7 linked regions of the Mus musculus genome follow. The protein of the gene in region 6 purifies or fractionates together with the protein of the main gene of each other region. This does not show direct contact. Links are inferred from orthologs where the notes say so. Each region holds a gene or a part of one and is shown on either strand. Other genes may lie near its edges. The genes, in order: Appl1, Sinhcaf, Zmynd8, Bcl11b, Rreb1, Hdac2 and Pml.

What was found.
Region 1: the proteins of Hdac2 (region 6) and Appl1 purify together in Homo sapiens (co-immunoprecipitation; 3 studies listed by BioGRID and IntAct, with this or other methods). This does not show direct contact. The link is inferred for Mus musculus from reciprocal best matches to the Homo sapiens genes HDAC2 and APPL1.
Region 2: the proteins of Hdac2 (region 6) and Sinhcaf purify together in Homo sapiens (affinity purification with mass spectrometry; 3 studies listed by BioGRID and IntAct, counting the BioPlex papers as one, with this or other methods). This does not show direct contact. The link is inferred for Mus musculus from reciprocal best matches to the Homo sapiens genes HDAC2 and SINHCAF.
Region 3: the proteins of Hdac2 (region 6) and Zmynd8 purify together in Homo sapiens (affinity purification with mass spectrometry; 4 studies listed by BioGRID and IntAct, with this or other methods). This does not show direct contact. The link is inferred for Mus musculus from reciprocal best matches to the Homo sapiens genes HDAC2 and ZMYND8.
Region 4: the proteins of Hdac2 (region 6) and Bcl11b purify together in Homo sapiens (affinity purification with mass spectrometry; 4 studies listed by BioGRID and IntAct, with this or other methods). This does not show direct contact. The link is inferred for Mus musculus from reciprocal best matches to the Homo sapiens genes HDAC2 and BCL11B.
Region 5: the proteins of Hdac2 (region 6) and Rreb1 purify together in Homo sapiens (affinity purification with mass spectrometry; 4 studies listed by BioGRID and IntAct, with this or other methods). This does not show direct contact. The link is inferred for Mus musculus from reciprocal best matches to the Homo sapiens genes HDAC2 and RREB1.
Region 7: the proteins of Hdac2 (region 6) and Pml purify together in Homo sapiens (affinity purification with western blotting; 3 studies listed by BioGRID). This does not show direct contact. The link is inferred for Mus musculus from reciprocal best matches to the Homo sapiens genes HDAC2 and PML.

The regions. Positions count from the first base shown.
Region 1 is NC_000080.6:26,925,367-26,929,183, reverse strand, and holds part of Appl1 (DCC-interacting protein 13-alpha), read left to right. Parts: intron 1-450; coding exon 451-625; intron 626-707; coding exon 708-744; intron 745-1,308; coding exon 1,309-1,455; intron 1,456-2,330; exon of another isoform or gene 2,331-3,174; coding exon 3,175-3,225; exon of another isoform or gene 3,226-3,547; intron 3,548-3,677; coding exon 3,678-3,767; intron 3,768-3,817. UniProt on the Homo sapiens protein: Multifunctional adapter protein that binds to various membrane receptors, nuclear factors and signaling proteins to regulate many processes, such as cell proliferation, immune response, endosomal trafficking and cell metabolism.
Region 2 is NC_000072.6:148,943,486-148,948,019, forward strand, and holds the start of Sinhcaf (SIN3-HDAC complex-associated factor), read right to left. Parts: upstream 2,986-4,534; 5' UTR 2,807-2,985; exon of another isoform or gene 1,104-2,806; intron 1-1,103. UniProt on the Homo sapiens protein: Subunit of the Sin3 deacetylase complex (Sin3/HDAC), this subunit is important for the repression of genes encoding components of the TGF-beta signaling pathway.
Region 3 is NC_000068.7:165,783,619-165,787,435, forward strand, and holds the end of Zmynd8 (protein kinase C-binding protein 1), read right to left. Parts: intron 3,630-3,817; coding exon 3,546-3,629; intron 2,121-3,545; coding exon 1,972-2,120; 3' UTR 534-1,971; downstream 1-533. UniProt on the Homo sapiens protein: Chromatin reader that recognizes dual histone modifications such as histone H3.1 dimethylated at 'Lys-36' and histone H4 acetylated at 'Lys-16' (H3.1K36me2-H4K16ac) and histone H3 methylated at 'Lys-4' and histone H4 acetylated at 'Lys-14' (H3K4me1-H3K14ac).
Region 4 is NC_000078.6:107,986,180-107,989,996, forward strand, and holds part of Bcl11b (B-cell lymphoma/leukemia 11B), read right to left. Parts: intron 3,652-3,817; coding exon 3,286-3,651; intron 1-3,285. UniProt on the Homo sapiens protein: Key regulator of both differentiation and survival of T-lymphocytes during thymocyte development in mammals.
Region 5 is NC_000079.6:37,930,208-37,934,024, reverse strand, and holds part of Rreb1 (ras-responsive element-binding protein 1), read right to left. Parts: coding exon 1,536-3,817; coding exon of another isoform or gene 1,483-1,535; exon of another isoform or gene 1-1,482.
Region 6 is NC_000076.6:36,991,539-36,995,355, reverse strand, and holds part of Hdac2 (histone deacetylase 2), read right to left. Parts: intron 3,600-3,817; coding exon 3,458-3,599; intron 1,749-3,457; coding exon 1,656-1,748; intron 1,581-1,655; coding exon 1,472-1,580; intron 1-1,471. UniProt on the Homo sapiens protein: Histone deacetylase that catalyzes the deacetylation of lysine residues on the N-terminal part of the core histones (H2A, H2B, H3 and H4).
Region 7 is NC_000075.6:58,229,204-58,233,020, reverse strand, and holds part of Pml (protein PML), read left to right. Parts: intron 1-2,392; coding exon 2,393-2,530; intron 2,531-2,934; coding exon 2,935-3,193; intron 3,194-3,613; coding exon 3,614-3,666; intron 3,667-3,817.

The sequences.
Region 1 (3,817 bases), on a different chromosome or scaffold from region 6:
GCTGGAGAAAGCTCAGAGTTCTACATCTGGATTGTCAAGCAGCAGGAAGAAAAAATGAGCCACTGGACCTGGCTTGAGCTTCTGACACGTCTATACCCCTACTTCCTCCAACAAGGCCATACCTCCAACAGTGCCGCTCTAAGCCTGCAGGGGCCATGTTCATTCAAACCCCCCAAAACCATGTCACTGAGACCTTAATTTTCTTATAATTTGAACACTGAAGTGTTAGGGTTATTTCTAAATTTATTTTTTAGGTTTTATTCTTCATAGGAAAACCCAAAATCATTCAGTATATTCTTTTGGGAAACAACTGTAGGATTGAAAAATACATAAATACTGAAGCAGTATTTATATGTTTTATATACATATGCATGTATTGTGAGTTAAGGCCAACCTGTGCTGCAAAAATAGAAAAGTACATCTCTCATAATGTACCATGTTGTGTTACAGACTCTATTCTTCATCAGTTATTTATTGTCCGATTCCTTGGTTCTATGGAGGTAAAGTCAGATGACCATCCAGATGTTGTCTATGAAACAATGCGCCAGATCTTAGCTGCTCGGGCCATCCACAACATCTTTCGTATGACAGAATCACATTTATTAGTCACTTGTGACTGCTTGAAGTAAGTAGCAACCCTCTCTAAAAAACTTAAGTAATTTTTTAGTTTTGCCTAATTAAAAAGTTTTTCAAAATTTTAATTATAGGTTAATTGATCCGCAGACCCAAGTTACAAGGCTCACAGTGAGTTCTATATGATTAAAGCTTTAAGAATCATTTGTTCATATATACATTTTATAGTTTGATGATAACCTGGTCCTATGTATCCTGGTACGACAGTATCAATAAGATTGTTCCTTAGGTTGTAGTTATATATGCAGCCAGCTCCAGAAAGTTACTGAGCACTTGTAAAGAGTCAACGTGTTTTGATGATAGTTTTTAATCCCTAGAGAGTTTATGCACCAAAGGAATTAGCAGAAGTAATCAAAACATGAACATAATTGTGTTTATTTTATAATTCTATATTTTTTTGTGGGTACAATTGTATGACTTAATCATTTTTGAGTAGGTTATTTTTTTGTAGCTAAACATATATTGGTGAATATGTTGAAAAATAACTCCGTATTTAATAACCTTTTTTTGGAATATTCCAAATATGGCATTATTTGTACCTAGATTATTTTTCTATTGAAAATGTGTCTTTAAAATTCTTACCTGTGATATTTTAGAATTTATCATGAGAGTTTATCATCTGAATGTTGCTGTACTGATTTGGGAGATCTCATATTTATGGTATTTCTGTGGCAGTTTCCATTGCCGTGTGTAGTTCTGTATGCTACGCACCAGGAAAATAAACGACTTTTTGGATTTGTTCTCCGGACATCAGGCGGAAGAAGTGAGAGTAATTTGTCATCAGTCTGCTATATATTTGAATCAAACAATGAGGGAGAAAAGGTACCTGCCTTTCAAAATGTTCATTTTATAAAGTACTCATCAGAGTCCATTTTCACCTTAAATTTCTGGGAAAAGCTCTCCGATTACGCCTAGTCCAGTTGAGCTGCTTGATGAGAGCGTGCTTCTCTGGGGAGAGCTGGCTGATGGTGCAGCCTGTCAGGTTCTGTGGATTATTGATAGCTGGTTCAGTCTTGAATCATTAACTTACCTTCGGGATGGAGTATATTCCTACAGTCATTTTTAGGTGTCAGTAATTCATACCAGTATCATTACCTAACTCCTTCATTCTCTGCATGACTTACTATTTCAGTAATGATGTTTTTTAAGTTTTTGTGGTTTTGCTAACTTCATAAATGAATACTGTATTAGCATCATTTCCTCTCCTCTCTTCCTTCCCAACTCCTCCTATGTCTGTCCTTCAAGTTCATAACTTTATTATTATTGATGTGTGTGTGTGTAAAACTTACCTGGTCCATTTAGTGTTGTTCTTATGTTCATATGTTTAGGTCTGACCATTAGCATTGGATAACCTATTGAGGCTCGTCTCTGGACATAACAGTCTTTTTCCTGTAGCTCTTCTTCATCCATGGGTTGGGCCTTGTGAGATTTCCATTGGCATGTCAGTTATCAATTTTTAGGTCTTGTTTTGGCAATCATATTGTTGAAATTTCGTAGCTACAGCGTTCTTATGTCTAGAAGACACTGTCTACAGCAGGTGTTCTGGTACAACCTTTTCAACTCTTTCTCTTTTCTTAAAACCACTCACAAATCTTTATTCACTAATGGGGTTATACTTTCCCTTTTCCCAGCTGTTCCTTCCATTGAGGGTTCTAATGAGCTTAGTATCCTCTGTCAGAGGAAGGTCCTGGTGGCTAGGTACCTAGTTTGTAGAAGGACCTTGTCCTCTGGGGGTTGATGGTCTTTGTTGTCAGGAACAAAGTGGGGAGGGACACTGGCCATCAGCACTCAGACCTCCATGATGTTCCCAGTTGGAGATGTAGGGTAATAGGGACTGGGTGAATCCCCACCCCGCCCCAGCCTCAGCAGCCTTGAGGGCCTCAGGATTAAGGCTTCCAGGATAACACCAGAGAAGCAACTCTGGGAAAGGCTCCTGAGTGGTGGTAGGGCTTGAGGGAAAGTCATGGGGGTGAGGGAGATTGCAGTAGGGAGGGGTGATCATTATGTAGGCTGACTTGGGAGATGTGGGTGGCTATGTTAAGTGCACTTAGGCATTGCTTGTGCAAGCGTTCCCTGGGGTCCAGGCTCAGAGTCACCCAAGTCTTAGCCTGTGGGTTATTATGTTGCAGGACCATTATGGTTTGGGGGTCCTGCAGAAAGAGGGTCAACTCTCTTATATGATTTTTCCTTAGCCTTAAATGTGTAGGGATTGTGCTGTAGATACATCAGTTGTATCACTTGGGCCTGGGCATGCTACAGTTACTTGTCTGCATTTTGACCAGTAGCTTTATGGTGATCTGATATAACGAGAAGTAGCATGGACACATGGTGGAAAGAAAAGCCAGCAGTACAAGGTCATCAATTCTGAAGGAACACGCTGAGATTCTTTGGGGTTGAAATAATTAAATTAATTCTTATTTGAAGAAGTATATTATATTATTATGAAACTAGTTCTGTCATCCATTTGGGTATTTGAAATTTTTAGTGTAGTATAAAACTCTCTAGTTTAATATAAAGGTTTTACTTTTTTTTTCCTTTTAGATTTGTGATTCTGTTGGACTGGCAAAACAGATAGCTTTGCATGCTGAACTGGTAAGAATCAGAGCCACTTAATTTCCAAGGCTGTCTAAGCTAAAGCAGTGTAATAAAAGCTCTTTCATACTAGCAGTAAATAAAGTTATATGCTAAACAAGATCAATGGTAGGTGCTGTTTCTTGTATAGCATTGGGAATCTGGAGCCAGGCCTAGCACTTGAGAGGCAGAAACAGGTGGATCTCTGAGTTCAAGGCCAGCCTGGTCTACAGAGTGAGTTCCAGGACAGCCAGAGATACACAGAGAAACCCTGTCTCTAAAAAAGCAAAGAAGTCCCAACCAAATAAAAAAGAAAAGACTCTGGACTAGTGTGTGTTGTAGAATGAAAACTATTTGTATGCCTAATGTAAATGTACTGAAAAGTTACAAAGCTCATATTAATAGAAATAATGTAAAATTTAAAGTTACTTCCTATTTAACATATCTGTTTTATTTACCCTTCCCCTTTTTAGGATCGTAGGGCATCAGAAAAACAAAAAGAAATAGAGAGAGTAAAAGAGAAACAGCAGAAAGAGCTCAGCAAACAGAAACAGATTGAGAAGGTATGTAGTCCTTTACGTGGAATTGATGAGGACTGATTGAGCACTGTGAC
Region 2 (4,534 bases), on a different chromosome or scaffold from region 6:
TTAACTCATTCAAATCTCTCTTAGAAACATCATTTGATAATAACAGAATCATTTAGTTCTACATGTGTGTATAGACTTTCCTAGGAAGCTGAAGTCTTGCAGTAAGTAGTCTACTTAAAAACAAAACAATGTTTGCAAAGTACCTCATGTTATTTTCACATGTCCCTGGAGTCACCCAAAGGAAAGCCAAGGTTGTAATATCCAAGGTTTTTAATTTTCTTGACACACTCTCTATTCACTTCAAAAATTATTATTTCCCAGTCAAGGCCACATCTAGATGAAAACAAGCTAACTGAAACACAGGATTAATTGTGAAAGTCGCAACAGATATGGTGTTGCTGGGCTGGATGTCTAGACTGCAAGCAAACCCCAAATACCAAAGAAGCATCCATGTGTCAAACGAGCATAATTTTTGAGCTATGCCTGGAGCCACATACCAAAAAGTTAGCTTGAAAAAAGTGTAAGAGGGTAAGTAGAAGGTCAGTCCCAGTTCCCAGGAATTGTGAAACTAGCAAGGGCTCCCTACACTGGCAACTTCTCCCAGCATCCTTTATCTCGGAAAGGCCCTACTCCCCAGATGCAGCAGTTCTCAAGGTTATCTAAGATTTATCTGAGTCCTGCATACTTTAAGGTCAAAACACAAAACATCCTCAGAATACTTTAAATGCATTTATGCTTTGCGGGGACTCAAAAAACGAACCCCAGACTTTCGCGTTCAGTTTTGCAGCACAAAAACCATTAAAATGATTTTCAAGTCTGACAAACTTCAGTTCAAAAGCAGATGTTTTCCGGACACTGCTAGAAACAAGTTTTACGTCCACCTCTCACTAAAAAAGTTGCCGGATCCTTCTTTAGAAAGCATTAAGAGAAGACCAAGAGCCTACTTGAAACGAACTCCTAACATGGAGGGGGAGGGGGGACACGGTGCACGTCTGGCTCGTAGTCATTCTTCACCTGCAATAAGGAAAGGTGAGAAGAAAAATAACAAGAGGCGGACTGGGGTGCTGGTTACCAGAACTGCTCCGTCTTAAAAGCCGCCCAACCCAACCTGCCCTGCGCCTCGCCGGTCGCCCCACGTGTAAACACACAAAGGCTGCACGCACCCCCAGTTCCTCAGTCTCCACTTCCAAGAGGGGCAAGAGCCGGCGCCCCGAAACTTCCCCGCGTGTAGTCGGAGGTCCTGGGTAGGGCGCGGAGCTCCACTCCTGGAGGGAGCCCAGCGCTCCGGGGTCCCCGGGCACCACGCGCCATCCGCCGCCCTCACCTGCGCTGGAACAACGGCCCGCGCCCCGCCGGCGCCGCCCGAAGGCCGCGCCTCTGCTCCCGGGCCGCTCCGCACGCTCGGCCTGACGTAATTCAAACATGGCAACAGTTCCACTTCAAAGGCGGATGCACGGACCTCCCAGACGCGGCCTCCCGTGCCTCGGAGCCCCGGCCACGCGTGCGTCCCGCCGAGCAGCGCTCCGTCGCTCCGCATGGGTGACCCGCAGGCCGAGGCGCCCCCACGGACACAGCCTCGCTGAGCCGCCGCTGAAGTTTCCGAGAGGACCTAAGGGACAAAAGCCGCCCCGCGCCCCGCCCGGCCCGCGCCGCTCGGGCACACGCGGCCCTTTGTTGTCCGGCGGCATCGGCGACGTCGGGGCGACCCGGACCCGCGCCCGGGGACCCACGCGAGCTCGGGTATCCTGAGCCACTGGTCCCTGGGGCCAAACTTTTGCGGAGTCCCGGATGAGAAACGCCCAGAGGTCCCCGCCGCCGTGCATATGCTGCGAGTTGGCGACTTTCGCTGTGCTTTGGAAACTGGCAAGACGCCATCACCAGGAAATCACATTGTCCTGCTCCCGACAGCCCCGACGGCGACCGCAGCCCGCGGCTCACTCCGAGCTGGACACTGAGATGTAGCACGGTCGCGGCCCTAAGCACGTGGCTTGTCAGGTGAAGCACACACAACAAAAAGGGAAAAAAAAAAAAAAAAAAAGAGTTGGGTGCCTCAAGCAGCGGACCGCGCCGCCGCCTTCATCCGCACTGTTTGGTGCCGCGGGCCACGGCCACCCCTCCCGTGTCGCCCGCACCCACGCTACAGGTGACCAGACGGACAGCGAACTTTGGGCTGCAGAGACCACTCGGCACCGGCCGAGTGCAAAGACCGCGTGCTGCGCGCTCATTGTCGCAGCCGCGTCCCTGCGGACTTCTCCAACAACGCCACGCCGCGTGCGTCGCGCCATCCCGGCGCTGGCCCTCACCAGCTGCCTTCAGCCTGTGTGGCCGCCGGCTCCAGGAACTGGCAAGTTAGTTTCCGAGCTCCGGCTTTGTTGTTCACCCGCGTGCAAACACCGTCGCGAGCGCCGGGGTAGCGCAACACGCGGGTGCACGCGGAGCCCAAGCCCCTGGCCAGAGCAGAGCCCACACGGGATCTGCGACCCCGACCCTGCTCTCCGGGTCTGCAGGAAACACTACGACCTAGAAAAGTCATTGTCACTTTCAGCGTGGATGCAAGTCCGCCGCAGCTCGTTCGTTTCCACGCTGCACTCACTTTCCCCACACCCTGACTTTCGGTTTACCTCAAATATCCTCCTCAATTAAGAAGCGCATCTCCAACGCCTCTGTACAAAAGAATCTGGAGTCCGGAGAGCACGAGGGCAGCGCTCCCCGCAATGCCATCTCCAAGACAAAACTTCCTGTGTGTTTGTGTATGGGAAGGACGGAGGAGGCGGGGGAGGTAAAGGGAGGAAAGAAAAAAAAAAAATCACAGAAAACAAAACCTCGGAGACAGTTTTGCACCGATGTCCGGACTAGAATCACTCACCTTCCACGCGCAGCAGCGTCCCCACGGTGCAAACTGCACCAGGCCAACCTCCTGCAAGCACTCCCTCCGCCAGCGCCGAGTCCAGAAAGATTGTCTCCAGCAGTTCTTCAGTTGCTACCGCGAACGGAGGTATAGATTCCGCTTTCCCTCTGCGCAGGCGCGGCTCCCGGGACCAAATTCTCTTGAATCGAGCTGATTTGCATACGGGCGCGTGCGCGCCGCGGGCTGGGCGGGGAGAGGGCAGGGCGTCCGCGCGCGTTCCCGCGGCCTCTATTGTCCTTTTAAGGGGAGAAGCGGCGAGGCGCGGGAAACGCGGCGGCCCGCGGGGACGGGGGCGGGTCCTGCCTACTCCGCAACGTCACGTAAACAAACGCCCTCCCCAGCCCCCGGGGGAAAAGGAGGCGACGCGGGGGCGTGGCAGGACGCGAAAGGTGTAAAGGTGAGCGTTGTCCTCACCGAATGGCACCCCTTAGGAAGCTACTGAGCTTGGAAAGTTCTGGAAGCTGCTTTTGCAGCATTCGCGCACCTATGCCCAGTTTCTGGCTTGAGGTGGCAGAGAAAGTTGTCGTGGAACCACTCAGTTTGTACTTGTTCCTGCCTTTCCTAAACTCTGTTTGAAGGTGAGCTTTACATTTTGTCTTTCAGGGCCTGCCTGGCTTGTGAGACTGCTCAACTGGTACTTTCAAGTCTGATCACCTGAAGGCAATAACCAACTTCTGCAAATTCGCCCCGCGCACCACATGCACACACAAATTAAAATTTCAATTCTCCAACAGAGTTTTCGTTCTTTGGGGCTTTGATGATAAATTGTTTAATAAAGTCGCATTTTGAAATGGTCCATTCAGTAATTCCGTCTTGTCCCTCTCAAACATGACCCAACCCATAACTGAGTGGTTTTGCTTTGCTCACTTGAACTGAAGTTTTCAAGCCTCTGCGAATTTCATGGTGGTAATTACCGTGGGAATGGTGCCACTTTCTGAAAACACACAAATCCTCCAGCCGTGAAGAGCTCCTCTGCCCAGAAAAACCACTTGTGAGGGGAGAAAGTGGAAGCAAAATACACACTATTCCTTGTGGAATATACGATAATCGAACATCAAAATGTTTCTAAAGAAAACCTAAAAGGGAGGTGATTGTAGAAGAAAGGGAGTAATCTAGAGAAAACAAAGAATAGGGAGGTTCCAGACAATGAGGAGGGAGGAAAAAGGAGGAAGACGCTTAAGTAACTTTTCAGATGAAAAAGTAAGAAATGAAAATATAATTGTGATACTCCTTAAGCCCAGCGACCCATAACACCTGGTTCAGTGATCCTGGGAGGATAGGTAGGAAAGAGAATGTTTTTTCACCAAAACTTGATACTGGTCCTTTGCTGCAAAGTATGGAAACCAACTATAAAAACAAACAAAAAAAAAAAAGACAAGATTCACTGCTTTTGCTGTATGCAGATTCAAACAAATATTTCTGAAATGCTACTTTAATTCAATAGCCAATTCCTAAAACACAGTTTAAACCTACTTGTGAAGACCTCAACGTTTTTTTTTTTTAAAGTTCTGTAACACTCTTCCTGTAAAGGAGTAAAATAAATAAACCTGACAACTGTCACTAAAATACAACTCTTAAAGGCAAAGATTTTTCCCTTATGTTTGTATTCAGGCACCTAAAACAATGCTCACCACATGATGGATTCTTAGTAACTGCTTATAAAATATACTTGAATTTTTAAATTTT
Region 3 (3,817 bases), on a different chromosome or scaffold from region 6:
CACAGAAGGGGACAGGTCAACCCTTCCCATCACAACTAACACCCAACTGGGACCCACACCTCAGCATTTGCCCACACGGGTACCACCTATGCAGGCCTGAGCCCCAGACCAGAGATATGGGCATCTCTACCCAGAAGGCCACGGGAAACTTCAGCCTTTGAAGATGAACTTTCTGACCTAGAGCCAAAGATCGATGTACCAGTCACTTCAGGTGGCATTAGCACAGGTGAAGCGCTCATGAAGCCTGGCCTCAGAAGACTGCAGCTACCATGGGAGGTAAGAAAGTCCCAGTCCAGCCCACGTCCCGGGAGGGTGCCCGGGACCTCAGGAGACCTGTCTCTTGTGGCCATTCAAACCTGACACAGCCACACCCTGACCCACGGGAGATTGGCATGACCAAACCCTTTTGCCAAAACGGTTTAGTTTTTTTTTAAAAAGGGTTAAGAACCTGAAAAACTTGGGATGTCAAAGGGGGGAGAACCCAAAAGCTCATAACCGCGAGAGGACGCTGTTCAGCCATGAAGAAACGCCATCATCAAAAAAGATATTTAAGTTTAATACAAATTTTATACAAAGAAAATGTGAAAAAATACTCCCATATGCTAAAAGCAGTTACGCTTCCCAAATAAGGCCAGCTAGGCTAGATTGTTTTTTTTTGTTTGTTTTGTTTTGTTTTGACGACCGCAATTCACAAATTTTCTCTCTCTCCTGTTTTCTTCTAGCGTTTCTTCCTTTCTTCTCTAGTAGGGGTAAACTGCCTGAACAACGCGCAGCTTGGCATTCTCTTATCAACAATGAAGAGAAAGTAAACGGAGACTAAAATGTACAACGGAATGTACTGGAATGATATACAGTTAATTTCTTTTTTCTGATATACACACATCACCTTTTGCTTCGATCGATGCTCGCTTTACACAACATACAAAATGGAACTACAGCAGACGTAGCGTTAACGGACAGCATGTCGGGTCCTGGCTTTCTCTCACACTGCCTGTGTTTCATGCTTACATAAAAACGTAGAACTCCAGCAGATAAATAATACATACATGCTCCATCCCCGGGCTGGCGTGGGCTTCGTGGCCTCGCCGTGCACCTTTGCTTTTTGAGTCCTTGCTTCTGAGAAGCACGTCTTCACAAATCCATGTGGGTGTTATGGGAAAAAACTTGGCCGAGAGAAGGGGTCTCCTCGCACGCACAGATGCCCGCTGGCTGCGTTCGTTCCCGACACCCCTGCACAAACGCCGGGCGCTGGCTGCATTCGTAACGCCACGGGGATAGCTCGCGTGGACCTTCTGTAAACAGGAGGCTGCTTTGCCCCTTCGGGAGCCAGAGCTGGAAACACACCACACACACATACTTCTCTCTGTGTCCTTCAAGGCCAGCAAGCATGTGTTTCCTAACATCGTCTTGTAGGGTCTGTGAGGGGCGGATGGCTTGGTGTGGCGGGTCTAGGGCAGCACAGCCTGAGAGCCCCAATCCTGGTGTGCTGCGGCGACAGTGGCTCCCTCCCCTGGGTATCCAAGGACAAGGGCCTACGTGAAAATAGCAATCCCTGGGCCCAGCCCTGACACCCCAGTGAGGCCAGCGGGCTCACTAACCAGCCCCTGGATTATCAAAACATTCTTTTAATTGTAGATCTTTATATATATATGTATATATATAAAACTTGCTTTTCTTTTCTGTTTTTTTTATAAGTTAAGGTCAGTGTAGATATGAAAAGGAAAGGTACGCTAGGTCAGTGACGTCACAAGTGTACCTACTTACACCTAAAGTGTTTGGCTCACAGGGTAGTGCCATCCCAGCCAAGACCAGAGCTGGGATGGAGTCAAGTCTCTGTCCTGCAGCCAAGCCGACGGGCAGAGCCTGAGTGTTGGAAATTCTAAAGGTGGCGGTTCTCCAGTTTCTGTTGCTTCCTGTGGTTTGGGCTGTTTCTCCCGCCTATAGGGAGGTGTTCTGGCTCACAATGCACCCCTAGTCCCAGAAGGCATCTAGCCGAGACTCCCGGGACTCTTTGGGCATGAGGTTCTTCGTGCTGGTCCCTCCACTGTGCTCAGAGCGGGATGACGCTCGCTTCTCCTCGCTGCTGCTCCACAAACCTGCCTTGCTGCTCCGGGAATGGTCTGTGAAGGAAAGGCAGTGTGTTCAACTCCCCTCCCCACCTTCCTCAACTCATCTCCCAGCTGGAAGTTACCTTCCCTCCCTCCAGCCAGACCACGCCCACTCCAACCGGACCACGCCCACAGCTGCCCCTGAGATCCCAGGGCTGTGGCTGTAGAACACAGAGTGAGGGCAGCTGGCTTTGGGCTATAGCTAACTGAAAGGTCAAAAGGTGTCACACTAGCAGAGAGTGAGGTTAGCGAGTGATGGTGTCCAGTCGACGGGGAACCCCTGCCCTGTTAAGAGTCTGGACTATACCACGGGGGGCCCATGCACCTTGCCTCTGACCTCGGCTCTTAGAGAAAGACCCGCAGAATCTGACATCTGTGGTGACCTCACAGAACTCCTGATTCATTTATAAGACTCATATCCAAACCAGGAAGATATTGTAAGAGAAGAAATGAGGACCAGATGAGATGGCTAAGCCCACCTGGACACTGACTCCGTGGACTCCCAGTAAGGACCATGTTAGGGGTCAGTGACGGATACAGACCCCAACGGACACCTGGGATGGCTTTGAGGTCACACGGGCAGCAAGTTAGGTAGTGGCTGAGGAAGCAAAGAGGAAGCTAACAGAAGAGCCACAGACGCTATCACAGAAGAGGACAATGGCCCTACACTAAGGCCCTACACTTAATGGCTGGCCACTAAGACCCCTTTGCTGCTCCCAGATTCTCTAACTTTCCTGAGCTGTGGAGCATCAAGCTTAAGATGGAGCAGGGCTAGTGAGAAGGGACCACTGCTGCCCTTGGGGGACTGTCTTTCTTACTTCTTACTGCCTGTTCACAAAGCACATGCAAAAAAATAAAATAAAATAAAATAAAATAAAATAAAATAAAATAAAATAAAATAAAAATTTAAAAGTTCAGGCTGCTTTTATATTCAGCCAGAAGGGGGCAGTGTTCTAAAAGGACAATCAGAGTTCCAAATGGTCCTTTGAGAGCTCACATTCCTGGCAGTTAGGCTATATAATCTTCTAGAAGGTCTTTGAGGGGTGGCATGGATATAGTCGCACATCACCAAGTCCTTCCAGCTGTGGGGAAGAGCCAAGATCAGTGGGGATATGAAAGAAACAGAACTTGAGATTCCAAAGCCTGAGCCTCTAAAGGACTGGGCCCAGGATGCTGGCTAACATGGCAGACCACGGCAGGGGAGATGCAGTACCCAGCTAAGACAAAACAAAGGCTCTGAATGGCCCAACCTACAGCAGTTTGCAAAGGCAGCAATGGGGAACAAACAAGAAGACGACGGCGACGGCAAAGCAGAGGGAGACCAACACTCAAAGCACAGGACACGCCCACACGGACACACACAGACACACAAAACATGGCTTCTGCATGCCAGGAGTGACTCTCCCAGCAGCTCCCCTGAGACAGGGTCATACTTACACTTCTGGGCTGGGTAGTTGGGGTGCGGCTGGTGGTCTGTAGTGGTTGGGGTATAGGCAGGCTGCTTGTCACACCTCTTGCTAACTGAAGAGAGCACAGGTAGCCTTAGAATCCATCACAGCTGAAATTGCACACAACCCCAGGGGCCGACACCCATGGCTAGCTGTTCCTTCATGTAGGCCACTCGACTGGATGTGCTTACAGGTGACTGGGGCCTTTAAAAACTTGTGTAAACCACAAACAGGGTCGTTGGACACGGCGCCACATCACAG
Region 4 (3,817 bases), on a different chromosome or scaffold from region 6:
ACCTAGTGCCTGAGCAGAGTTCTTAACAGAGGCAGGGAGAGGCCACAAGAAGGAGTCATGAGGGACACACAGCACCTCCATGAGTGGTGTCATCACAGGCATCCCTTGGGTCAGATCTCCAGCCACAGACTTTGCTTATGATCACCCCCATCCCTAGGCTGCCCTGGAAACCAGGCATCCGGGACCTCCTCTTCCATAGCAGGGGAGCAGCAAGAAGATTCCAAGCCAAGTAGCAACATGAAAGATAGGGCTGGAATTTCCTCACATACTCCCTGAGGGACACCCTCCTAAGGGGAACAGCATAGGTGTTCAGTGAATGAATGAATGGATGAATGAATGAATGTCCTCTAGGACCCAAGCTTTATGGAATCTTTTCTGTACCTTTCTAATCCTCCCACAGAGCTTCTCAACTTGTGGGTTGCAACCCCCTTGGAGGCCAAGCAACCTTCTCACAGGGATTGCCTAAGATATTTACATATTCGCAGATAATTACAGCTATGAAGTAGGACCAAAAGATAATTTTATGGTTGGGGTCACCACAAGATGAGGAACTATATTCAAAGGTGGCAGCATTAGGAAAGCCGAGAACCACTGCTCTGTCATTTAAAACAGCAAAAAGATCACAAACTATAGCTATCTCCAGAAAGACCTTGCCAAGGAAAGGGTAGGGACTGGGTCAACCACACTTTGGTTAGATGACTAGCCAAACCCCAGCTCCACTCCCACCCTGGAGACACAGTTAAGGACAGGGGGACTCTCACCTACAGAACAACATCTCTACCCATCGCTGGGGCCCTGCTTCTACAAGTGTCAGGCTGAGGGGAAAGGCTGCCCCACCAAAGTGAAGGCTGCAGACCTCAGAACATTCCAGTAGCATAGCCACCCCACCAAGGACTCAGCCATGATGGCCAGCTAGGAGCAAAGTCCCAAGAATCAGCAGCCACCTGCTCACCAGCGGCTGCCAGGGACCATCAAGGCCAGTGGAGACAGCAGCAGGGCACAGAGCAGCAGGGAAGGGACCCTGAAGCCACAGGCGGGAGACAGGAGCAGGGGACCCATGGAGACCAGTGTGCCAGGGGCCTGGACAGCAGCTGGAAGGATTTCCGGGTGCCTGAGTGGAGAAGGGCCCGTGATTCCTAGCTCCCCTCTTAAAATATAAAGACTCAATTATCTTTGAGCAGCTTGCTTTACACATGAATTGACACATTTATTTTACAATAAATAACTGAAAGTTATCTGTGTTTCCTTTACTGTTAATCTACAGAAATAATAAACAGGCCTTGTCTACCAAGCTGCAAGGACTGCGGGGTCCTCGGAATTCAATTAAGCTAAAATAATTAATGCTCTCACCATATTAAATTACTTTATACATTTGAGCCACTGATGTTTTATTCTTTAATCTTTTCTTTCTGTTAAATGGGGAAAAAGAAGAAGAAGAAGAAGAAGAAAAGTTGGTACCCAAGTGAGGAAGGACCAGGAGACCCTGGGGTAGAAAGGAAGGGTGGGATGGGTTGAAAGAAGAGGAATGGCCAGATGCAGCTGACACGGCATGCAAAGTGCTTTGTGCCTTTGATTAGAATAACATTTTAAATGCTTTGAACAAACATAGCTCTTTAGACTTCCAAAGGCTTATTTTACATATTTTCTTCTAGAACGAACAAATCCACTCCTCCCTCGCTCCTCTTGCCCCGACTCCGAGCAGACGGACCAAGGCTATCTCCCGTCACGCATAAAATAAAAATACTGTGGGCCATTAACAGTACGAGGGGAGGAAACGGGGTGGGGGTGGGGGGCAGAGGGAATGGAAGGATAAGGACGAAGCTGTGGGGAGATTAAGCGCCTTTTGAAAAATCACATTTAGTTGCTTTCTTAGGCAAACTTCCCCACGGTGATCCGCAGGCTCTCTTTGGGAAAGACCTTCAACATAAAATGAGGATTTTGAGGCTGGGTCAGCAGATGAAAGTGAAGTAGGGACCAGCCACCCCTCAAAGGCTGCTGTGCACTGCAGACGCCGGGCAGGCGTCCCCACACTCTTGAAATCTATCCCAAGTGGTATGCCTGGCAACACAGACAAGGGACGAGACACCCTTTTTGCCTTAATGGTGGAGGTGGTGTGCAGCCATGCCTGTCTGCCCCAGGCCTGATTACGCTGCCAGGACACCCACCAGAAAGCCAAGCCAAGGCCAAGCTGGTCCACAGATTCTCCCCACTGCCCATCTTATGCCTGTGGGGGTATCAGACTGTCCAGTTTCTCCCAGTATACAGGTGGATAAACTGGAGCTCAAGTGTAAGCAACTGAGGTGTGTGGTGGAGCTGGGCTTACAGTGACTCTGAGCGCCTCTAGGTGACATGAGGTCCTGGCCCATGCTTTGTATCACCTTCCAAGAGGATACAATGCCCCTCTCCCCTAACCCCCATGTCCTGGGGCTTCAGGACCCAAACTCCTCCAGGACTGGCTCCACAGTTTTCCATCTGGCTGCTGCACAGCCAGAGGGACACCCCCACGAGAGTTCTCCTGCCAAAGCTCTTCCAGAGCCCCCCTTCCTCCATCATCACACAAGGCCTGCTAGGATTATTCATTCCCCGTTCACAAAAGAGGAAAATAGGGCTCTAATTCTCAAGATATCCAGCCCAAAGTCAAAAGGCAAGATGAAGTCGAAATCAGACAGATTCCCAAAACCTGAGGGTCAGGCAAAATGGGAAGCAGGCTCATGAAAAGAGGGCCTACCCCCTTTTTTTCACAACAGGGGAAACTGAGTCCGAAGAGAAGAGTGTAGACAAGTGCCATGCATAAGGGCCTAGCAGGTACTACCACACTCAGAATCACCTGCGTTCTTCAACAATCGACACAAAGGGGGTGGGGGTGGGTCCTTCTGGACTCCATCTTAGAGATGAGGAAGCCACCGTTTCCAGGTTGGAAATGACAGAGTCCAAACCGAGCCTGGCTCCAAAGCCAGGGGCTGAGCCAATATCACCAACGAAGAGAGGGCCAAGCCAACCTCCAAAATTCCATCTCGTGCTCCAGGCCACTTCTGGATTAAGCACAAGTCAGCATTTTCTCACCAAAAGCAAAGTAGCCAACACACAACAGTCAGGTCTTCTTCACCTTGTCTTCCCCGGAGAGTCACCTGGAAGGTGGGCCCTCAGAAAAGGGAAGCCCCAGATGGTGACCCAGAGGCCATTTTGAAAAGCCCTGGACCTCCTGAGAATCAGTGCTTAAAAGTCAGGGAGTTGGAGCAGCTAGGGAGGCAGCTTCAGCAGCCACCAGGTAAGCAAACGTCATACCTGCAATGTTCTCCTGCTTGGGACAGATGCCTTTCGTGGGTGACAGTAGGTGGTCATCTTCATCAGGGGTGACCTGGATCCCGATCTCCACTGGCTCAGATACTCTCCTGAGCTCAGAGCGAGAGGAGGGAGGTGGACTGCTCTTGTCCAGGACCTTGTCGTAGCAGGGGCCCAGGCCTCCACACTGTTTCTTCTTGTGCTCTATAAAAACCAGGATGTCCCCCAGCGGGAAGTTCATCTGACACTGGCCACAGGTGAGTAGATCAGGGTCGGGGCCTCCCACCATCAGCCCCAGGCTGCTAGGCTCCTCTATCTCCAGACCCTCGTCTTCCTCGAGGATGGTAGCCTCCACATGGTCAGCCTCTGCTGGAGACAGAAAGGAGACAGGGAAGGGGCAGAGAAGACAAGAGATGGGCTTAGGTCATCACAGACTGGTTCCTTCCACCCTTTCCCACTGAGAGACGAGCCCCTCGACTGCCAGCCTCTGTGGCTCCCCACATCCCCCCAGGGACCGGAGTTCACCATCATAGCC
Region 5 (3,817 bases), on a different chromosome or scaffold from region 6:
GGAGTGGGTAGAATGGAGAAATGGGTTGAGACCAAGTACAGATGCTGGGATAATTCAACAAAGTAGCTGAGAGGATGGAAAGAGACCCTCTCTCATGATGGAGGCAGTTTGCTTAACTACAGTTGAAATTGGGTTTTGCTCAATGCTGTTGGCTGCGCTCTCTCTCTCTCTCTCTCTCTCTCTCTCTCTCTCTCTCTCTCTCTCTCTGTTTGTGTGTGCGTGCACACGTAAGCACACTTGTGCCATGGCTTGCGTGTAGAAGCAAGAGAACAACTTGTAGGAGTTGGCTCTTTTTTCTACTCTGTGGGCCCTGGGGACCGAACAGGTTCAGATGCTCCTACACCAACAGTGATCAAACCCCAGGGAAAGAGGGGACACGTCTCTGGTATCTGCAGATGCCATCACAAATGGAAAAGAAATGGACACTTTGGCTCCCAGGAAGCCTGTCAGTTTGCTGAGAGATGGCCTATCTACACAAATCTTCAGTGGGCGGGGGTGGGTGGGTGGAAATCACAGCATTCCTTCCTGGAGTGTTTCTAGCAAGATCTACTGCAAAAAGATCTGCAGTAAAATTTGAGCATCATTCTGATCAATAAGTAATGTTTCCGTCTGTCCCAAATACTACAAAATACTTGTTGGTCTGAAAAGTCAAATCTTGCCAGTGATCCATATTTTAAACTGTAAACTCCAAAAGGGTAAGGACTTCACTGAATGTACAACAATCGCCCAATCGATCGATGATACAAATCCTGTGATACTATTCAGAAAATTATAATTATACCTTTCTAGATGGCTATTGAAATATTAGAAGCACTAGGCATAAAGTAATTTAATAGATAAGTCTCTGTTCTACACTTCAACTTCTAGAAACTGACATCTGAAAACTATTTCCGGGATGTTGTTTTGGTAATCTAGCTTTGTTAATTAAAACATTCAAATGATACGCAGAATGTTTTCCTCAACAGTTGACAATTTTAGGATAAATAGAACTTTAGAAAAATTACTACTATCAATCATCTAAGTATTCCAAATAGGAAAAAAAGTCAAAATAAGTAAGGGACGCTGGAGCTACCTCAGTGAAGGGGAAAAAATATCCAATCCCACTTTTCTGTATTACATGTGTGGTAGCTAAAGAACTCCATAGAATGTTCAAAAAAAAAAAAAAAAGACGGCACTGAAGATTATCATGTCAAAGCACCAAGCTCATTACATCACTGTTACCTTAATGCAAAGTCCCACTTCTCCGGAATGGCCTCCATACTTAGAAACTCTTGGAACTTGTCAGGCAAAGGTTATGGGGAGGGAAGTGAAGGAGCCTATGACCACTGTCACTGTGTCTGATACATTTATTTACAGATAAGCCTTGGTGGCTCAGACCACAGGCACAGATTATATGGAAAGTAACAGCCTGTGACTTCTGAGACAAAGAATGGAGCATGAGACAAAGGCCCCAAACTTTAGGCCTACTCCTATCCCTACCCATTACTCTTTCCTTTCAAGACTCACCGCCTGGTGAGCCGTGAGGGCCTTCTTACCAGTGTGTGTAAGCATGTGCCGCTGCAGGGAGCTGGCCCAAGGGAAGACCCGGGGACAGTGGGGACAGTTGATCTTTTGCAGGCAGTTGGCATAGGAGTTCCGCTTTGCTCTCAGCAGCCTGTCTTCTGCGGGGCTACCTTGCTCCTCATCAGCGGGCCCATGCTGGTCGGCAGGGGCTCCAGCCACCTCTTCCTGAGTGTCATCCTCTGCAGTCTGCAGAAAGGGACTGAACTTGTTGGTATCTGTGGTGGCCAGCATCTTCTCGATGCTAGCAAACTCCCCACTGGAGTCCAGGTCCACAGCACTGCTGTTGGGGAGGGGCCGGTTTCTCAGTCCCCTTTTCCTGCCCCTCTTCCTCGACGAGGAAGTGGCAGCCGGCCCTTGTTCAGTAGGCAAGGCTTCCTCAGGGCTGCTGGCTGCAGGGGGTGGCTCACTGGATTCTTTAGAGCTTGTGGTGTCAGTGGGGGTGGCGGCAGCTTTGGGGATGGAGCTTCCTGGGCTGTCTGTGGCCACAGTGTTACTGCTGGTGATCGATGGTCCAGGGTCAGCTACCTTCGTTTTCAGCAGAGTAGGGGCCGAGGACACGGAAGAAATGATCTGGGCGATGGAGGCCAGTGGCGGCAGCTCCTCTGTCATCGAGGGCTTTGGCAAGAGGAGGGGGGGCTTTGGCCGTAAGGGCCGAAGCAAGGCTGGGTTGTTCAAGAGGGCAGCAGAATTGCCCAAGAGGGGAGTATTGCTGACGAGCGCGGGGGAGTAGATGGGGACAGCCAGCTGCACGGAGCCCTGGAGGGGCTGAGTGTGGGGCTCTAGCTTGGCAGCTGTGGTGACGGCCACCACCGTGCCTGTGGGGGTTTCCAGGCTCCCCTTGGGCTCCACAGTCACTGACAAGGTAGGGCAGGGTGGTGGGCGGGGTGAGAGCGGCTCGGCTTGCCCAGCTTCCGGTTCCGGTTTCTTGGCGTCACTGGGAACAACTGTGTCCTTGTCTCCTTTCTTGACGCTCTTGGGGATGGACAGGTCAATGGGCTCCATGGAGCAGTCATAGAGGGCAGAGGAGGAGGAAGACGTCAGCAAGGAGGAAACATTTTCCTGCTTCACTTGGACCAGTGCCAGGCCTTTCTGCGAAAAGTCAAGGGGTTCGTTGAAGTCCATGGCAAAGCTGCTGGCTGGCTCCAGCTTGACAGAGATGTGGGAAGGCAGGGGCTGGGTGGGGCTCGAGTGAAGAAAGCCATTTTGGGGCTCCAGGAAAGTGGCGAGGGGCTTGCACTCCGCGAAAGTGACACAGCTGCCCTCTTCTCCTCTGGAAGCGGCATCCGTGGGCGTGTCCGCGGGGCCGAGGCCACTGTTGGTGGCAAGCACGTAGCTCTCGATGTCCTTCTCGGGCACGTGCAGGTGCTGCTTGAGGATGTGATGGATGCAGTTGCGCTTGGCCACGAAGGGAGCGTTGCATTCCTTGCACTCGAAGGGTTTCCGGCCTTTGTGGCAGCCGCCCAGGCCCCGGCTGCAGTGTGTGCGCATGTGGATGCGTAGAGCTCGGTAGTGCTTCAGATCCTCCCCGCACAGTCTGCACACGGTCTCTGGGGCGCAGAAGGCGTCCACCAGCTCTGCGGTGGGGCTGCTCACGTACTCTATGTTCTTCTCAATGTCCTTCCTGGTGGCCTTGAGGTGCTTCTTGCGCAGGTGCCGCTCACAGTTGGCTTTGACCGTGAATGGGTAGTGGCAGATCTTGCAGATGTAAGGCCGTTCCCCGCTGTGTGTGCGGATGTGACGGATCAGGGCGGCTTTGTCTGCAGCAATATAGTCACAGATGTTGCATTGGTAGGGTGAGATGCCCAGGTGGGAGCGAACGTGGGCTCGCAGGACTCCAGAGAAAGCAAACACCTGGTTGCAAAAGCGGCAGGGGTAGAGCACCTTGCGCATGGCGGGGGTCTTCTTGCCACTGGGGCCTGTCATGATGGCCTTGAGGTCACCTTCTGTTATCTCCTGCTTGATCTTCGCCTCCATGTTGAGGGGCAGCAGGGCCTCAATGATACTCTCTTGTTCCAGCTGTGTCTTCATCTCGGGCTGGCCCGGCAACTCCACTCCAGCTTGCTGCAGGAAGAGCTGTGTGGTGGTGCTTGGCTGGATCCCAGACTTGGACTGAAGCAGATGAACATTGGACACTGCCTCCACCGACCCCTTGAGGAACTTCAGGGACTGTGGAGGAAGGCTGGGGCTGATACAACCGGGAGATGCCTGCTGGGCGTTGATGAGAGGTGGGGGCGTGGAGGCGGCTACCACTGTC
Region 6 (3,817 bases):
TAAGTCTTATCTGCTCGGAAACACGAGATATCTATGAACATTCTATGGCCCACATGAAAGTGCTGTTAACTGAATGCTGACCTCCAGGAGAGTGGCCAACTAATTTTGTATGACCCAACTAGATACGAAGGAGAGTACCAGAGCATGCCACAGTGCTGAGGCTGGTCTGCAGAGTACAATCATGAGAAGTTCTTAACATCTATATTTAATTATCTTAAAAGTTCTGTAAGAGAACTCAAAGCAAGATGTTACTTACTACCTCAAAGTTCACACAGAAAGTCTAAAGTAAAACATGCAATGTGCATGCTAAGTCATTTCTAATCCAAACATTAACTTTATTAAAAAGATTTATTTTATTTATCTTTTTCTTTATGAGACAAGGTTTTACTATATATAAAGCCTTAGCTGGCCTGGACCCATCTCTGCTGTTCTAATGCTGAGTCTAAAAGCATGCGCTGCCACATGCAACTTTGCTTCATTCTGAAACCCTCGAAGTTCATCCCATAACAGCAATATGAGACTTGTATTCAGCATGTGGACTTCGGCTCTTCGTAAGGACTTGAGAATTTCAACACCACCTTACACATTTACACTTGGGCTTCTTTCCTCATGAAGACACTTATGTGTTCCACCAGCAAGTTAGATACAGTGCCCACTGATCAGGAGACATAATAAAGCAGAAGCAGAGAGCTCTCTGTCCCATTAAACCCATGAGGACACTAAGTCCGAACAGGAGGAGCTCAGTGACAGAGCACCTGAGATAGCTGAGCAGAATACATTAGAAATTCATAGTTTAGTAATAAGGAATATGGAAACTAAGCAAACAAAAAAATCCAGAAGAAAAAAAAGTGAGTCTTGCCAGTAGAGAAGACTGCTAAGCTAAAAACCACTGCTGCTGAGCACTAGCCACAGCGACCGAAGTTCTTAGGGTTGGGTAAGGAAGAGAGTAACCATGATAGAATAAAGTGCGCCAAGCTAAATCCTCATACTCTGTAACAGCAACTGAATCAGACAACAAGGTACAGGTCTTCTGAAAAAACTGATTAAAAACTGCTGGCGCTGACATGGCAACAAACTACTCATGGATAAATACATAAACATAAATATGATAACATGTAAGACTTGGGGAACTAAATTAACTAGTCAGCCACATAACAAAAACAAACAACAACAACAAATAAAAATCCACTAAAAATTCAAATATAGAGTTTGGCATCGAGTTGGCAAGCAAAAGGTAACAATGAGAAATTAAAAATATGTTTTTAAACATGTATGGTGCGTACCACATGCATGCAAATCAGAAGAGAGTGCTAGATTTTGAGCCAACATGTAGGAGCTGGGATCCAACCCAAGTCTTCTACAAAAGGAACATGTGTTCTTAACCATCTCTCCAGCCCTCAGCAATGAAAACTTTTATGGGAAGTTCTTGGGGAGGAGAAACACCACACCAGGGGGAACGTGAACTGCTTACCTTTGACAGTTAGATTGAAACAACCAAGCCTGTCCCCAGACAGGGAGTCTGCGCCACACTGCAGCACCACCGCGCTAGGCTGGTACATCTCCATCACTTTTGAGATGATCTAGCCACAGAATAAGACACATTAGTATCTAAGGATATTTACAACTCCCATTTTATTTCTGAAAGCAGTACTTACAGGCTTAAAAATTTGTCCATATGATTCATCATCTATACCATCTCTCATGGGAAAATTGACAGCATAGTATTTTCCCTTTCCAGCACCAATATCCTAAAACACAAAAGTAGATCTTAGAAGACTATTTCATAACAAAAAGTCTGACATATTTTAAAATGATTAAAAGACCAAGTAACACACAATTCTGAAAAAATTAAATGTTTTCTTCATTTACATTTCAAATGCTATCCCCTTTCCTAGTTTCCTCTCCAAAAATTCCTTATATCCTCCCCCCTCCCTCTGCTTCCCTACCCACCCACTCCCATTTCCTGCTTCCTGTCACTGGCATTCCCCTGTACTGGGGCATATAATCTTCCCAAGACCAAGGGCCTCTCCTCCCAGTGATGGCCGACTAGGCCTTCTTCTGCTACATATGCAGCTAGAGACACGAGCTCTGGGGGTACTGGTTAGTTCATATTGTTGTTCCTCCTATAGAGTTGCAGACCCCTTCAGCTCCTTGGGTGCTTTCTCTAGCTCCTCCATTGGGGGCCCTGTGTTCCATCCTATAGATGACTGTGAGCATCCACTTCTGTATTTGCCAGGGACTGGCATAGCCTCACAGGAGACAGCTATATCAGGGTCCTGTCAGCAAAATCTTGTTGGTATATGTAATAATGTCTGGGTATGGTGGTTGTTTATGGAATGGATCCCCAGGTGGGGCAGTCTCTGGATGGCCATGCCTTCAGTCTTTGCTCTGAATTTTGTCTCTGAAACTCTTTCCGTGGGTATTTTATTCCCCCTTCTAAGAAGGAACAAAGTGTCCACACTTTGGTCTTCCTTCTTCTTGAGTTTCATGAGTTTTGTAAATTGTGTCTTGGGTATTCTAGGTTGTAGAAGTACGTTTTAAGCTCTAAGGCAGTTTTTAGATAACACACAAGCACTGTAGTTTGGGCTGGCGAAATACCTGGGTAGATAAAGCCCAACAAGTGAGATCCCCACGGTTTGATCCCCAGGATCCACCCATGGCAGGAGGACTCCTGCACATGTAACAGGGCACACATGTGCTCCTCCCCACCACACAAAATAAACTAAAAAGTTCTTACAAACCTCAGTTTGAGGCATGAAACAATTTTACAAGATGTAAAAGTAGAGCCCACTTATCCACCATTCTCAAAGTGAGGAGCCCTGTGACCCAGACCCATAGGTAGGGAGGGATCCTCAGAGCTTCTACATCCACTGCGCCACTCTGGGGCAACATGGAGTCCTGAGAACACAACCCCAGGTAGGGAGCCCAAAATCAGTCTTCAACACCACCTAATAAGACACCCTGGGACTCTATGCCTGTGATCTCAGATAAAGACACTGCCTGACCTCTCCCAACCTACCACAAGACAGTGTGATAATCTGTACCCCACACCTATAGAACACTGTCCATTCCCATTGTGACCCCACCCCTGCTACCCAAGACAACCTATGCAACCTGGAGAGGACAGCAAACTTTTTAGGATCAGCACTTACACCTAACTGAGTTGAGACCACTTCTGATCCCTCGTTTCTACATATTCAAAGTAATCACAGCTGAACAACAAGCAGCATTCAGTGGGTCCACATGTGACAAATCCTAACAGTAAGCAATGATCCCAACAACTGCTCAACTAAGGTGAGGCCACATCTCCGGAAACAAACAAAAAAAACCATACACACCAGATGCCGAGGTCCCATCACAAATACACAAACAAAATGACTAAGACAACATGGCTCTTCCAGAAATTAGCAACCTCCTATGCTCTTCTTATATTTATTCTGACAGAACTCAGTCTTACCCTCAAGTCTCCTGTTCCAGGAAAGTATTCCCCATATTTATGGAATGAGACGGTCATCACGCGATCTGTTGTATAAAAAGCTTCCTCAACACCATCACCATGGTGGATGTCTATGTCAATATATAAGACTCTCTGATGATACCTGAAAGGAAAGCGCAAGCCGGAATGTGGAAGCAGGTCCTTCATCTTACAGCGAATGCTCACCCTTCTTCCCCCGCAGTCTCAGCATCCAGACCCCAGCACGTCACGTCTCCTCGGGCTACCAAGACAATCGAGTACTGTACTCTGAGGTCTACCCTTGTCTTTACACTTTAAAAACGGGCAGACATTATCTATGTACTCACACCTAAAGGGTATGCC
Region 7 (3,817 bases), on a different chromosome or scaffold from region 6:
GGGTCAGGGAAGGGTTGGCTGTCTGGTGCAAGGTTCCTAAATGCCCAACTAGCTCTTGATGGGCCACTAGCCAGTTCAGGAGGGGTCAGACCCAGGGGTGGGCAGGCGGTGAATGTAAAGAGTATAAGCAGTGGCCCTGTTGGATGTGACACAGGATGTACCTGATGCTCACACGGACTGCCAGAGCTGTTTTCTGGGGCTGGCATAGGTGGATCTCCACTCCCATGCACATAATTCTTGGACTTAACACTAAGAGTCAGAGCTCAACCCCACAGATTCCAGGGCCATCATATACCTAATAAACTAGTTGCTTAGGGTTGGAAAACACCCTTAGATAATCTCATGCTGGCATTACTTCTGCCGTATCCTTAGCTCAGCAGCTTTCATATCCAGGCCGTTGGGAACAGGAAGTGCATTGGTTCCTGTTTTGATTGCTCTGACTGAGCACTTCTCAGAGGAGAAACACACGGGTATCCTTTTCATTCTCCTTCATCCACGCTCATAGGCATGGCTCCCCTGCAACAGGATAAGCTCTCTCAGTTCCTTTCTGTGCCTGGCATCTTTCCCTCCCCAGCTTGGTCACTCTGTTACGTGTGACTGCATGTCAAGATGTGGGCCCAGAACCAGGCAGATCTTCTGGTGGGGAGCAAGGGTATTAAACCTTTTCTAGCTTTGCCTTGGGGCAAGCCATGGAAAAGAGATTGCTGTGGGTTACAGCAGTGGGGAAAGGCTTCATGGGGGAGGCAGGACTTTTGAGAATTTTAGAGCTACAAGAGAGCGTGGAGTGTAAAGCCTCTTGCAGGGATGTAGTTAAGACCCAGAGAGACTCAGATGTGAGGAAGTTTAACTTGGGCAGGGTCTTTTTCCATAAAAGTTCCTCGTTTTTACTGTGGTCGTCACCTGGGGGCTGAAGCTAGGACTCGGGAAAGACGTGGGTAGCAGTGTGTGGGAGCAAAGGTCCTGTGAGGCTAAACTATAGCTGCATAGCCAGTGCTGACAGGAGAGGCAGCTCAGGCTGACACAGCACTGCCCCATCCCCCACCTTAATGTCTCCTGCTTCTTCAACGCTAGTGAGAGTTGTATTGAGGAAACAGAAGTAGAGGCACCCAGCCTTGCCTGCAGGGATTTCCTGGCCTAAGTAGAACAAGAGCCTTTTATACGCCAGCAACTGCAGAGCCATAAAGGCAAAGATAAAATGGTGAAAATTCCTGCTCCTGCTCTGAGGATTGAATATATGGGGCTTGGAACATGGCAGGCAGGTGCCTAACCACTGGGCTTCCTGCCCAGCCCCATGCATAGTTTGCAGTTGAATATCTACCTTCAGTGCTTTTGAGGTAGTACCTAGGAGTGTAGAGTTGGTAAGCCATGTGGTGATTCTTCCATTAAAAGAGATTTATTTACTTATTTTATGTATATGAATGTTTTGCTTGCATGTGAGTGTACCATATGTGTACAGTACCTGCAGAAAGGTCAGCTGTCGTGTGGGTTCTGGGAACTGAACAACTGAACCCGGCTGCTTTGCAAGAGCAGCCATCTCTCTCTCTCTCTCTCTCTTTTTAAAGATCTATTTATTTATTTATTATATGTAAGTACACTGTAGCTGTCTTCAGACACACCAGAAGAGGGCGTCAGATCTCATTACGGATGGTTGTGAACCACCATGTGGTTGCTGGGATTTGAACTCAGGACCTTTGGAAGAGCAGTCAGTGCTCTTACCCACTGAGCCATCTCGCCAGCCCAGAGCTGCCATCTCTTGAGCTCCCTTTTCACTATTTGAGGAGTTGTTCCTGCTTCATTTAGCAGGACCCTGAACACCAACTCGGACATGGAATAGTAATCAAACTAGTATTATATTCATTAGCCATCCTTGTCACCCTCACTACTGGGTACTAGATACTCTTCAAGACATTTTGATGGCGTTCAGCAAGTGTCATTATTCCATTTTATGGAGGGAGACTGAGACCCAGTGAGTTTTAAGTAATTCCAATGCATGCAGTAGCTACTAGAGTTTAAGACTCGGGTAAGGCAAGCTCCCAGGAGGCTGGCCTCCAAGTTCCCGACTGCTGCAACTCTGTTGCTGCTGAGGGAAGTGTTGCTTTCAGCAGCAAGCAACCTGTCTGTAGAGGCAGGCAAGCTAGGCTGGTTGTCAAGCATATTCTGAGGATAGGCACCATGGTCCCGGAGGTGTCGTCCTGCCCTGTCAGGACACACACAGATTGAAGCAGTGCCTGGGTGCCAGCAGCCCAAGGTCAGAGGAGGTGACATCATGGAGACTTTTGGGAGAAATTACTTGTCCCAGTGAGCTCTTTGATTGGGACCAAGCTTACACCTGAGGCAGGTTGTAGGCCCAGGGTCATTGCATTTCTAACTTTTCTGTTACCTGCTTTTACAGCCCAAAGAAGTGCAGAGTGTACAGGCTCAGGCCCTAGAGCTGTCTAAGACCCAACCTGTGGCTATGGTAAAAACAGTGCCTGGAGCACACCCTGTACCAGTGTATGCCTTTTCAATGCAAGGCCCCACCTACAGAGAGGTAAGCCCCCACTATTCAGCACTGCCTCAATCTAAAAGGCTTAGACTCCAGCCAACAGTGAGGTGTAATTGGAGAATCTGGGCTTTCTCAGGCCTATATTTGCTCCGTATTCTCCATTGCTCTCAGATGCTCCCCATGGAAGCTCGAAATAATCTTAAGCCACTCTCAGCCCAGCTGGGATGCTGAGACAGCCAAAGCTATGAGATCAACCGAGACTGTTGGTCAGTGGCCATGACCAGTGCACATGGCGACCTGAGAGAGCCTCCTGTTTGCAGAGATATGCTCAGCATGGCCAAAAGAAGGAGAGTGAAAACATGCCACAAACCCCCTGTCACTCAGCTCAGTGTCTCAGCCCAGCACCACTAGAGGCACCCCAGTCACCCCTCTAACTTCCCACTCTTCAGGAGGCTTCTCAGACAGTCGGCTCCATGAAGAGGAAGTGCTCCCACGAAGATTGCTCCAGGAAGATCATCAAGATGGAGTCCACAGAGGAGAACGAGGACAGGTTGGCCACAAGCTCCCCCGAGCAGTCCTGGCCCAGCACTTTCAAGGCCACCTCCCCTCCCCATCTGGATGGGACTTCCAACCCTGAGAGCACCGTCCCTGAAAAAAAGATCCTCCTGCCCAACAACAATCATGTTACCAGTGACACAGGGGAAACAGGTAGGAGGATTAGGCAGGGAACACCTGTGTAAGACTGTCATGCCCTCAGATATCTGGAACACCCCAGGCCCCACCTCCACATTCTAATCCCACCTGGGCACTCAGAGCCATCAGGACTCCCATGCCCGAGCTGCTCTGAGCAGCCATTGAATATGGCACTGGTGGTTTACCCTGTGCTTGCTATGATTTCAGTGTGGGACACTGGAGGGGCTATGCCTTAGCCCTGCCTCCTTCCCTCCGAAAACTGCTAGTGCCAATCTCTGTGCTCTGGGGACATAAACACTCCATCTCCTCCTAGCACACACAGGACAGGGTATCTGTCATCCCCAGCCCATTGGACAAGGATTCTCCTGGATGTCTCACCCTAGCCAGTGGCCATTCCAGGAAGGATTTAATGCTGCCACCCCCTCTCCTTTTCAGAGGAGCGAGTTGTGGTGATCAGCAGCTCAGAGGATTCGGACACCGAGAATCTGGTGAGTAACACGGACTTCAGCCTAGGACTTCTGCCTCCCCTTGTTCAAGGTCCCAAAGGCCACAGCCACAGCAGGTGACTCTCAGGCTCACCTGGCACCTGGAAAATTTCCCAGCCAGGCAATAAAACCTAAGTCATACCAAGGACAGTCT